Linked DNA regions of Danio rerio. The protein of the gene in region 2 purifies or fractionates together with the protein of the main gene of each other region. This does not show direct contact. Links are inferred from orthologs where the notes say so. Each region holds a gene or a part of one and is shown on either strand. Other genes may lie near its edges.

The links.
Region 1: the proteins of mcm3l (region 2) and mcmbp purify together in Homo sapiens (affinity purification with mass spectrometry; 10 studies listed by BioGRID and IntAct, counting the BioPlex papers as one, with this or other methods). This does not show direct contact. The link is inferred for Danio rerio from reciprocal best matches to the Homo sapiens genes MCM3 and MCMBP.

Annotation. Positions count from the first base shown.
Region 1 is NC_133188.1:28,756,756-28,760,579, forward strand, and holds part of mcmbp (mini-chromosome maintenance complex-binding protein), read right to left. Parts: intron 2,343-3,824; coding exon 2,209-2,342; intron 1,663-2,208; coding exon 1,498-1,662; intron 1,418-1,497; coding exon 1,329-1,417; intron 1-1,328. UniProt on the Homo sapiens protein: Associated component of the MCM complex that acts as a regulator of DNA replication.
Region 2 is NC_133195.1:6,685,180-6,689,739, forward strand, and holds the start of mcm3l (MCM3 minichromosome maintenance deficient 3 (S. cerevisiae), like), read right to left. Parts: upstream 2,823-4,560; 5' UTR 2,704-2,822; coding exon 2,632-2,703; intron 2,525-2,631; coding exon 2,412-2,524; intron 590-2,411; coding exon 381-589; intron 1-380. UniProt on the Homo sapiens protein: Acts as a component of the MCM2-7 complex (MCM complex) which is the replicative helicase essential for 'once per cell cycle' DNA replication initiation and elongation in eukaryotic cells.

The DNA.
Region 1 (3,824 bases), on a different chromosome or scaffold from region 2:
CTTTCGGTTAAAGTCTACTTCAGAATTTTTTCAAAAGAAGCATGATTAATGGGCATGGAGCTCTGCGAGCATCGGGCAGGAGTGGGCGTAGCCAGCAGGGGAGAACGTGAACGAACAACTGTTGTTGTCAGTTAGCTCACAAAATGAGATAAACCGTGAGGAGATGCATGAGTTTATAGTTTACAAAGTTAAAATGCAAAGAAATGAACAGTGATTTAATGCCCTGCTACATTTGTTATCCGTAATTTCATATACACATAACCACAATTTATATCATTATAAAGATAAATGTGTTCATGTAAACACTATAAATGAGGACTTCTCCCTCAATCCCCGTATCCAGCAGACTCAGTGCAGCAGGTCTCCTGACCTGTCTATTTTAACCATTAACCCTGCTGGTAATCTGAAGGATTTAGGCAAACACAGCAGCACGGCGATGTTTCTGAATGTGGACGAACTCCTGATAAAAGATAGCGCCTGCCATTCTCTAATTCTCGTGCTGCTCTCCCGACAAAAATGCTAGCAGCACACACACAGCTTTGCTGTATGATCGGCCTTGACAAGATCGCTGGGAAAACATGCAACAAACCCCGTGGATCATGGAAACAAACACATATGAGCCTTCATGAACGGCTAAATACTGTGCCGTGGTTTCCGTGTCTCTCAGCTCGGGCTTGACACTGGCAAGTCTGGCAGGTCTCATGAATAATTAAGCAACCGGCTCTTCTCATAGGATAAGAAAACTCCGCTATGAATAATAATGAGAAACCGACGCGTCATCATTGCACTTGCAGTACTGCGCTATGTCGCCGATTTTGATCCCACCCCAAAAATCATTTTAAACCCGGAAGCTGAAATTAGCTGACAAAAGCTCAAAATGATCCAGTTTTCCCCACAATTAAAGCTGACAGGTGCTAACATTGTCTTAACTGATGCTCAACACACACACACATCTGTTAATATAAAAAAGAAATTCTCCGGGGTGTCCTGAACCTTTAAACTCAAACTGGCTTGCCATAGGTTGCTGGGACCCATCAACTTCAATAGTAGGACAAAAACGACTAAAGAAGTACTAAATGGGTACCACTTAAGCGCATTTTCATTTGTGTTTAACAGAAGAAAAAAAATGTATTTGGTTTTAAACAAGAAAAGGGTGAATAAACAATGACAAAATTTTACTATCTATAAAAAAATTAATTACTATAAAACTATCACTTTAATGGTATCCCATTTGATCAAAATCAAACTAATAAAACTTATCATTTTTTCTTTTATATAAAAAAAAAAGCAACCCATTTTTAATCACATTTGCTGAATAAGAACCTCACCTTGCAACAACCAGCAGTCTATGAAGGTCTTCTGCTGACATACTCTGAGGATCATCTTTTCGCATATCTACAAAGTCCTCTTCCACAGCCTGTAGGTAAACCGCACAACATTAGACAAGAAACCATAACAAAAAAACACCCAGACACACATTTTGAACAGAACGCTGACCTTTGTGATCTCATCTGAAATGGTGTAGTTCAGAGCCCGCGCCACACTAAGGTAAACACGGTACTTGTTGAGCTGGGATGGAACCTGTGCCACCTGCACCGCGCTCAGATACTCCTCCAGGTTAGGTGGATTCAGAGAGGCCCTCAAGTGAACCTGACAGTCAGACTGCAAAACAGCCACAGAAATCTCAGTGAAATGCTTTTTCTAATGACTCCTTTCATTTTCAAAATCACTGAGCTCTGATATTTCAAGTTCTCTTGTGCAGAAATGTCAGAAGCCATTAATGAGTCATGAAATTACTCCTAATAAACCATCAGTGCTTTTTTAAACTTTGTAAAAATACAGCGCATCAAGCTGGGTGCCATTAAATAAGTGGCCTGTCCTGCCCCCTCTCTCTCTGATGCCCTTGTGCTGGAGTTGCCACCATGGCAACTAGAGAGAGCTGAAGTACAGGAATAGCACAGCACATTCCACAGACTGTTAGCATCACAGCGAATCTAGGATTGGCGTGCAGCCGGGCAGCTGACAGCAGCCCTCTGGACTGCAATGGAAATATTAGGCCGGATGGAAACAACTCCTATGGGAGAGGCATTCAGCCACAAGTCATTTTCACCTGTTGGAATTTAAGATTCCGGTCTCTCTAATTCACCCCAACACATCAGGGTAATATTTGAATAGTAAAAGACTGAAAGCGACTCCTGATGTTCTTACCGGGAGGAGCGATCGGCCCTCGGACGCGATAAGCACGTTAATATTGCAAGGGAATTCCATCTGGTGGTAGTTGAAGTCGTAATCAACCTTCTGCCAGGAGATCAGGTTCCCCAGCGCAGTGATATTACGCACACCTACAGCAGGGACAGACAGCACACAAAACCTGGTTTTGAACAATCCGCAAGAAAACACATCATCATGATACAAAGGAAATGCCAGCCGCTGCAGAAAAGGATGTTTACACTTCCTTTAGACATGCAATTGTCTCTGAGAAAGGCCAGATAATGAGTGCTTATGTTAACACAGAATGTCAAGGGTATTGATGATCCTCTTAAGTTAAGTTAAAATTGTGTTGTTGACCAAATAATTTCTGCTCTGATCTACACCATCTCCCAGTATTTAAGCATACTTTTGTAAATGCAGTCATGGCATATCTGTGCAGCAGCTACTGTATATATATATCTTTTAAAGTACTGTTTAAAACTACAGGTTTCAATGGTTAAAGTCTAAAAGGCTTTATAAATGACTAATACGATGTTTAGACAACACTCTCAAGCTGCATGAACAGGTTTATCTAAAGCCTAATGATCATGCCTGATCTGAGACAGTCATAGACATTAGGCAAATGAATTTTATACATTTTAAAGTACCTTTTTGTCTTTAAATCTATTTTACCAGATATTTAAGTTCAAATCCCTGATTTCCAGTAGGTATGTTTGCAATTCTGCAGTCAGAATTCATATCATATTAAATTTAAAGACCATGGGGGAAAAAAAAAAACCTGTATTTTTGTAGCATTTTACTATCATCAATTTTCTTTATCCGCTCGGTTAAGCCTTGATTTATACTTCTGTGGCTACTTTGCAGCCACATCTGATCTCTCTCAAGTAGGACGATGGACTCATTCTTGAAACTTACTTTAGACTACATTGACGATGAATGGAAGATGCATTGAGATGACATTTTCAATTATTTTAAAATTAACAAATGCACCATTCATTCAAAAACCTCTGGTATGTAATATGTGAGCATATTTACTGAACAAAACTTGTCAAGGAAATATGAGGGCATAAAATAAACAAATAAAATAATCATTTATTAATCGCAAATCGAGTTAAAATCTTCAATAAATTGAGATTTTGATTTTAGGCCAAATAGCCCAGCCCTACATTTTATTCATTTTTGTTAAGACATTTTGCTAAGACTTAAAAGTCTGTTGCATCAAGTTTCCCCTACAACCATCTTACTTTTTACACACTGTTGCTGACAAAAGAAAATATTGACATTCATTTTAACTGTTTACACCGCACACTAGTGGGCAGAGTCAGTGCAAACAGCCTCTGCCAGTAAGAGTGTAAACAAACACTCCAAACAATGCCACTAGAGCTACAATGTGCAAACAAATATTTCTGCTTCAATTTCATACCTAATATATATCAGTGCAGCTTTTATAAAGCTAATAGTCTCATAACATGCTTTTCTGTAGGATTCATAAAACATGTGCATCACAACATGGAGCATGCAATATATATTTTTAAATCAACATCAACTCTTTTTAATTAATTCTTTCAAACTGAGAACAGCTGGATTGACTGAAGTGTTTATATGAAGTCTCT
Region 2 (4,560 bases):
TTATTGCCATTTCAGCTTCTATGGCTATGTCATGGCAAAAATACAATACATCAAGTTTATCACATTTTATAAATACCAATTTTTTTATAATTATAAATATATTCTAACAATTAAAAGTAATCAACAGCAATAAATAATGTCCACGGTAAAATAAATAAATAACAATAATGATAATATATAAGATAAAAATCTAAAACAGTTTATTAAGGTTTCCTTTTGATAAAAGTTGTACAATTTAGATGGGTTTTTTTGTGTTCATCTAAAATCAGATGGTCAATCAAGTTTGGAACAAGTGAAGGATGAGTAAAAGAGAACAACATTTTCTGTTTTGGACGAAACAATTGCTTTAATAAGTAATAAGTAAAGTAAATCTTACTCACACTTGGTCACGATGCCTTCCACACACACAAGGTTTCCCAGAAAGCGAGCACTCAGAGTACGAGGAGACACATGTTTGTTCCCAAAACTGCCCTCGAAACCAACATGAAACTCCTCAAACTGCTTAGCATAAGTGGCATCTATTGAAGCCACGAGATCCTTCAGGGCTTTCTGAAACGCCACCAGCTCAGCGAAAGCATTCTTCAGTAATCTATTAAAAAGAGACACTTAATCAGATCAATAAAGATTCAAGGATATACACTCAAAATTACATTTGCCGCTTCCACTACTTATTTAAAATAAGCTGAAACAACACAATTCAAGCTTTTTTGGGGGAAACCTAACAGTTTTATGTTAAATCAATATCCATTTGTAAAAACTAATAGGTTAACTTATTTTCTTCGAGATGTTTTAACACAAATTGATTGTGTGAAATCCAGCATTTTTTACAGTGTATGGGAGAATGGGGGCAACATGGGGCAGTTACAACAAGACTTATTTCTCCATTAAGGAATGAGCTATGGAGGGATGATATTCATACTACATATTGTCAGTTGGATCCTTCTTCCATCCAAGAGAAATCAGCCATATGTGACCATTTCTTCAGTCTAAAACTCATTTTAGGTATTTAAAAAAAAAAAAAAAAAAAAAAAATAGTTTTTTGTAATGATCAGAAAATTTCTCATACAGCCCAATCTGTTTTTGTGAAACATTATTCATTTGTATAATTTAAATCACTGTTTTCATAGCTTTAAATAGGTATAGCTATCAAGCGTTTGTAACAAGCTATTGTATCTCTCTAGCATGGAATGTTTAATCAAGGTTGACAGAGTTGCTGAACATGCTTCTGTAACTGTCCCCAATTGTTATAAAATTCATTTGAAAGCTTGCCATATTAACAAATGTACAATTTTATTGATCACAGTTTTAATATAATTTGAAAAAAATATTTGATTAATTAATTCATGTCAACATTCTTAGTAGTAGTTTGGTAAAGGTTCAATCTTTCAGTAAAAAAAAAAAAAAAAAAAAAAGTTCAGTTTTTTTAGGCCTTATAATTGGATGTTGCTCGTTTTTTTTTTTTTTTTTTTTTAAGGTTTTGTATTTATATGGCCAACACATTTAATAATTTAACCAATTTTCATTTAGTGGGTTTACCAAAAAATAAAATCCAACTCGAGGTTTTAGATTTTTTTTAAATTATAATTTGAATGAATGTTGCAATTGTCCCTTTCTTTAAGTAATAAATGAAGAATTTATTAACATATCTACACATATTATAGCAATATGGGTGCCTGTCCAACAGAAGTGAGTTTATTGTTTTAAAATTTTGGGGTTCCACAAAAAAAAAATAAAATTGTCTTCGAGAAACTGAAAGAATTGCAAAAAGTGTTGCAACTGTCCCCACTCTCCTCTACAGAGAATTTTCATCACACATCATCAGTCAGCCATATTGGAAACACAGAACGTAAACAATGTGACTGAACTGACTGAGAATCATATTATTTGCTTACTACTGCTGAAAATGATCAATTGTTTTGGGCTTTGCTATTAGATTGTATTAGAATACTGAAAGCCATGTAAAGTCAAGCAGAAGAGAGAAAAAAAAGCTGTCTGAAGAACAAAAAGTGTTTGTGGTTGACCAAACTAATTCACGATTTCCATGGCAAGAATCTTGATAACGTTCATGTTTGTTCTTATAATTTATGCTCAAGCGAGTGTAACATTAGGCTAATCTGGTCAAATGTATCCTTTACCACATGTTAAATCAAAATGCTACACCATATTCTGCTTTAGTAAGTGATTTAGCAGCTTCCATGTTTTTTTTTTTTTTTTTTGTATATTTTAGACAGCAGAGCAACATATAGTACATCAACCATGCTGTTTACACCAGAGTTTCACATGTATCTGGCCACATGTTTGTTACTGACCAAATCCCGAAGAGCAAACAACGTTAAAGAAAAAATCTAAAATTGTCAAAAAAGCAAAATATGAAACAAAATAGACAACTTTTAATCAAATTAATCACTTACTCTTTAGCTCTTTTTTCACTTTTTCTTCTCAGATCATTAATGTTGACAATGAGACGACACTGTCCATCAGACACCATACTCCTGACCTTTTCATGGTAGATGCCCTGATCTTGCTGTAAATTACAATAAAAAAAGATTTAGTTTGACAGACAAAAAACAAAGTTTATACAGTTCAAAATGCCCACAAGTCAAACACATAAAGATTATTCAAATTATTCACATCATCATCCAGAAAGTCCAGATATTCCCTCTGTGACTCTCTCAGCTCGAGGTCCTCTAACCCAGTATCCATTTCTCCTACACGCGCATCAGCATGTGCATTACAATATTTTAAAATAACATTCACAGTTCAACAAAAATCAAATGCACAAACATGAAGCAACCAAACCAAGCTGGTGCAACAGGCCTGACAATCAATTATGTTAATTAGGCTCATTAACTTGAGCATGTGATTATCCAACTGATTTGAATAGAGCTACCCCTATTTCGAACCATGCTTTCATTATGGTAAAAAATATAACAGATAACCATGTGTAGCCTATATCACGTTTTTACTGTAAATACAATGGTTAAACTGTGGTTAGTGTAGCAAAATCATGAATAATTCGTAATTATCATGTTTGTTTGTTTTTTTTTTTTACAAGTAACCATGTTTTATTTGTGTAATGGTAGCTGGACCCTATTAGCAAAATAGATTCTCCTGAACGCTTCTTAAAATGCTCGAGTCAAAAGGACAATGAATGCGCTAGACCCCCTTTGAATTATTCCATTCTTTTATACTGTATTTGAAGCTCTTACAGTGCTCTTCAGTTATTTTACTCCGAGCTGCTTGATACTGTTGACACTCACACATACTGTAGTTGCATAATACGCACATAAATTAGTTCATTTTCGTTTGTTACGACATTCCAGGACGAAGCCTCAGGCTACGGCTCATATGGTTTTATAAAATATTCATTCACGTTTTGGACGAATCTTCCTTTGCTCGGTTCTCTGCAAACAAACTCCTGAAGTGTCTGAAGGCGTTCCTCTTCGGTGACTGACTTTACCATTCAGCAAATAGGATTTGAGTGCGCGCTGTGAAGGCGTGTTTCATTGGTTAGACCTGAACGATTACGCCCCTCTCTATATGTAGTTCCTCAAGCTGGAGAAAAACTGCTTGTTCAGCTCTTATCTGGTAATATATCTAATGTCTGAATCCAATATTTTACATACTAATCAGTTAAGTAAGGGAGCGGGGCACAAAGTAACACTTTTTGGCTTTGGTCAAATAATAAACAAAGGTTTGGGGTTAAACAAACCATTTGTTTTTTTACCAACAAAACACAAGCCTCTCCTACAAATGAGCTCTGGTTGTATAATCGCCGGACTATTGTTTCTTTGCAGTGTTGCCAAAAGTGCCAGGAGTAAAAATGTTACTATTTACCTCACTTCAAGTTGTAACAGACAGGGTTAGTTGTAACACATGCTTAAAAAAAGGCAGATTACACACAGTTTATTTAAAAATTTAAAGTTTACTTTAAATAGTAGCTATATTTTCTCAGTACCTAGCTCAATTTATTTTTTATTCTACACAGCACAGTATGTTTTCCAGAGATGGGTTGCGGCTGGAAGGGCATCCGCTGCGTAAAAACTTGCTGGATAAGTTGGCGGTTCACTCTGCTGTGGCGACCCTGGATTAATAAAGGAACTAAGCAGTCAAGAAAATGAATGAATAGCACGGTATATTTATTTATTTATTGGATAAACACATTTGGATTATACAATGCATTTATTTGTATTATTAGCAGTAAAATATTTTTTGTCTATCAAAAAAAAAAAAATTTCATTTCATTTAAATAGTTCTCAACATTACACTCAAAATTATATATATATATATATATATATATATATATATATATATATATATATATATATATATATATATATATATATATATATATATATATATATATATAGTGTTAGTTTGATTGGTGTCCAACAGTGCGTGGCTTAATTGTAACACTAACTAACTAACCGCGCGGTGTCGTGTTTTCTTCAAAACTGGCTAGCAGTCACTTTGTGTTTTACATCTTTCAAAATGGTTTCATATTTTAGCCTAGAAGATGGTAGTCACAACAATATATTTAAAAAATATTGACTATAATAA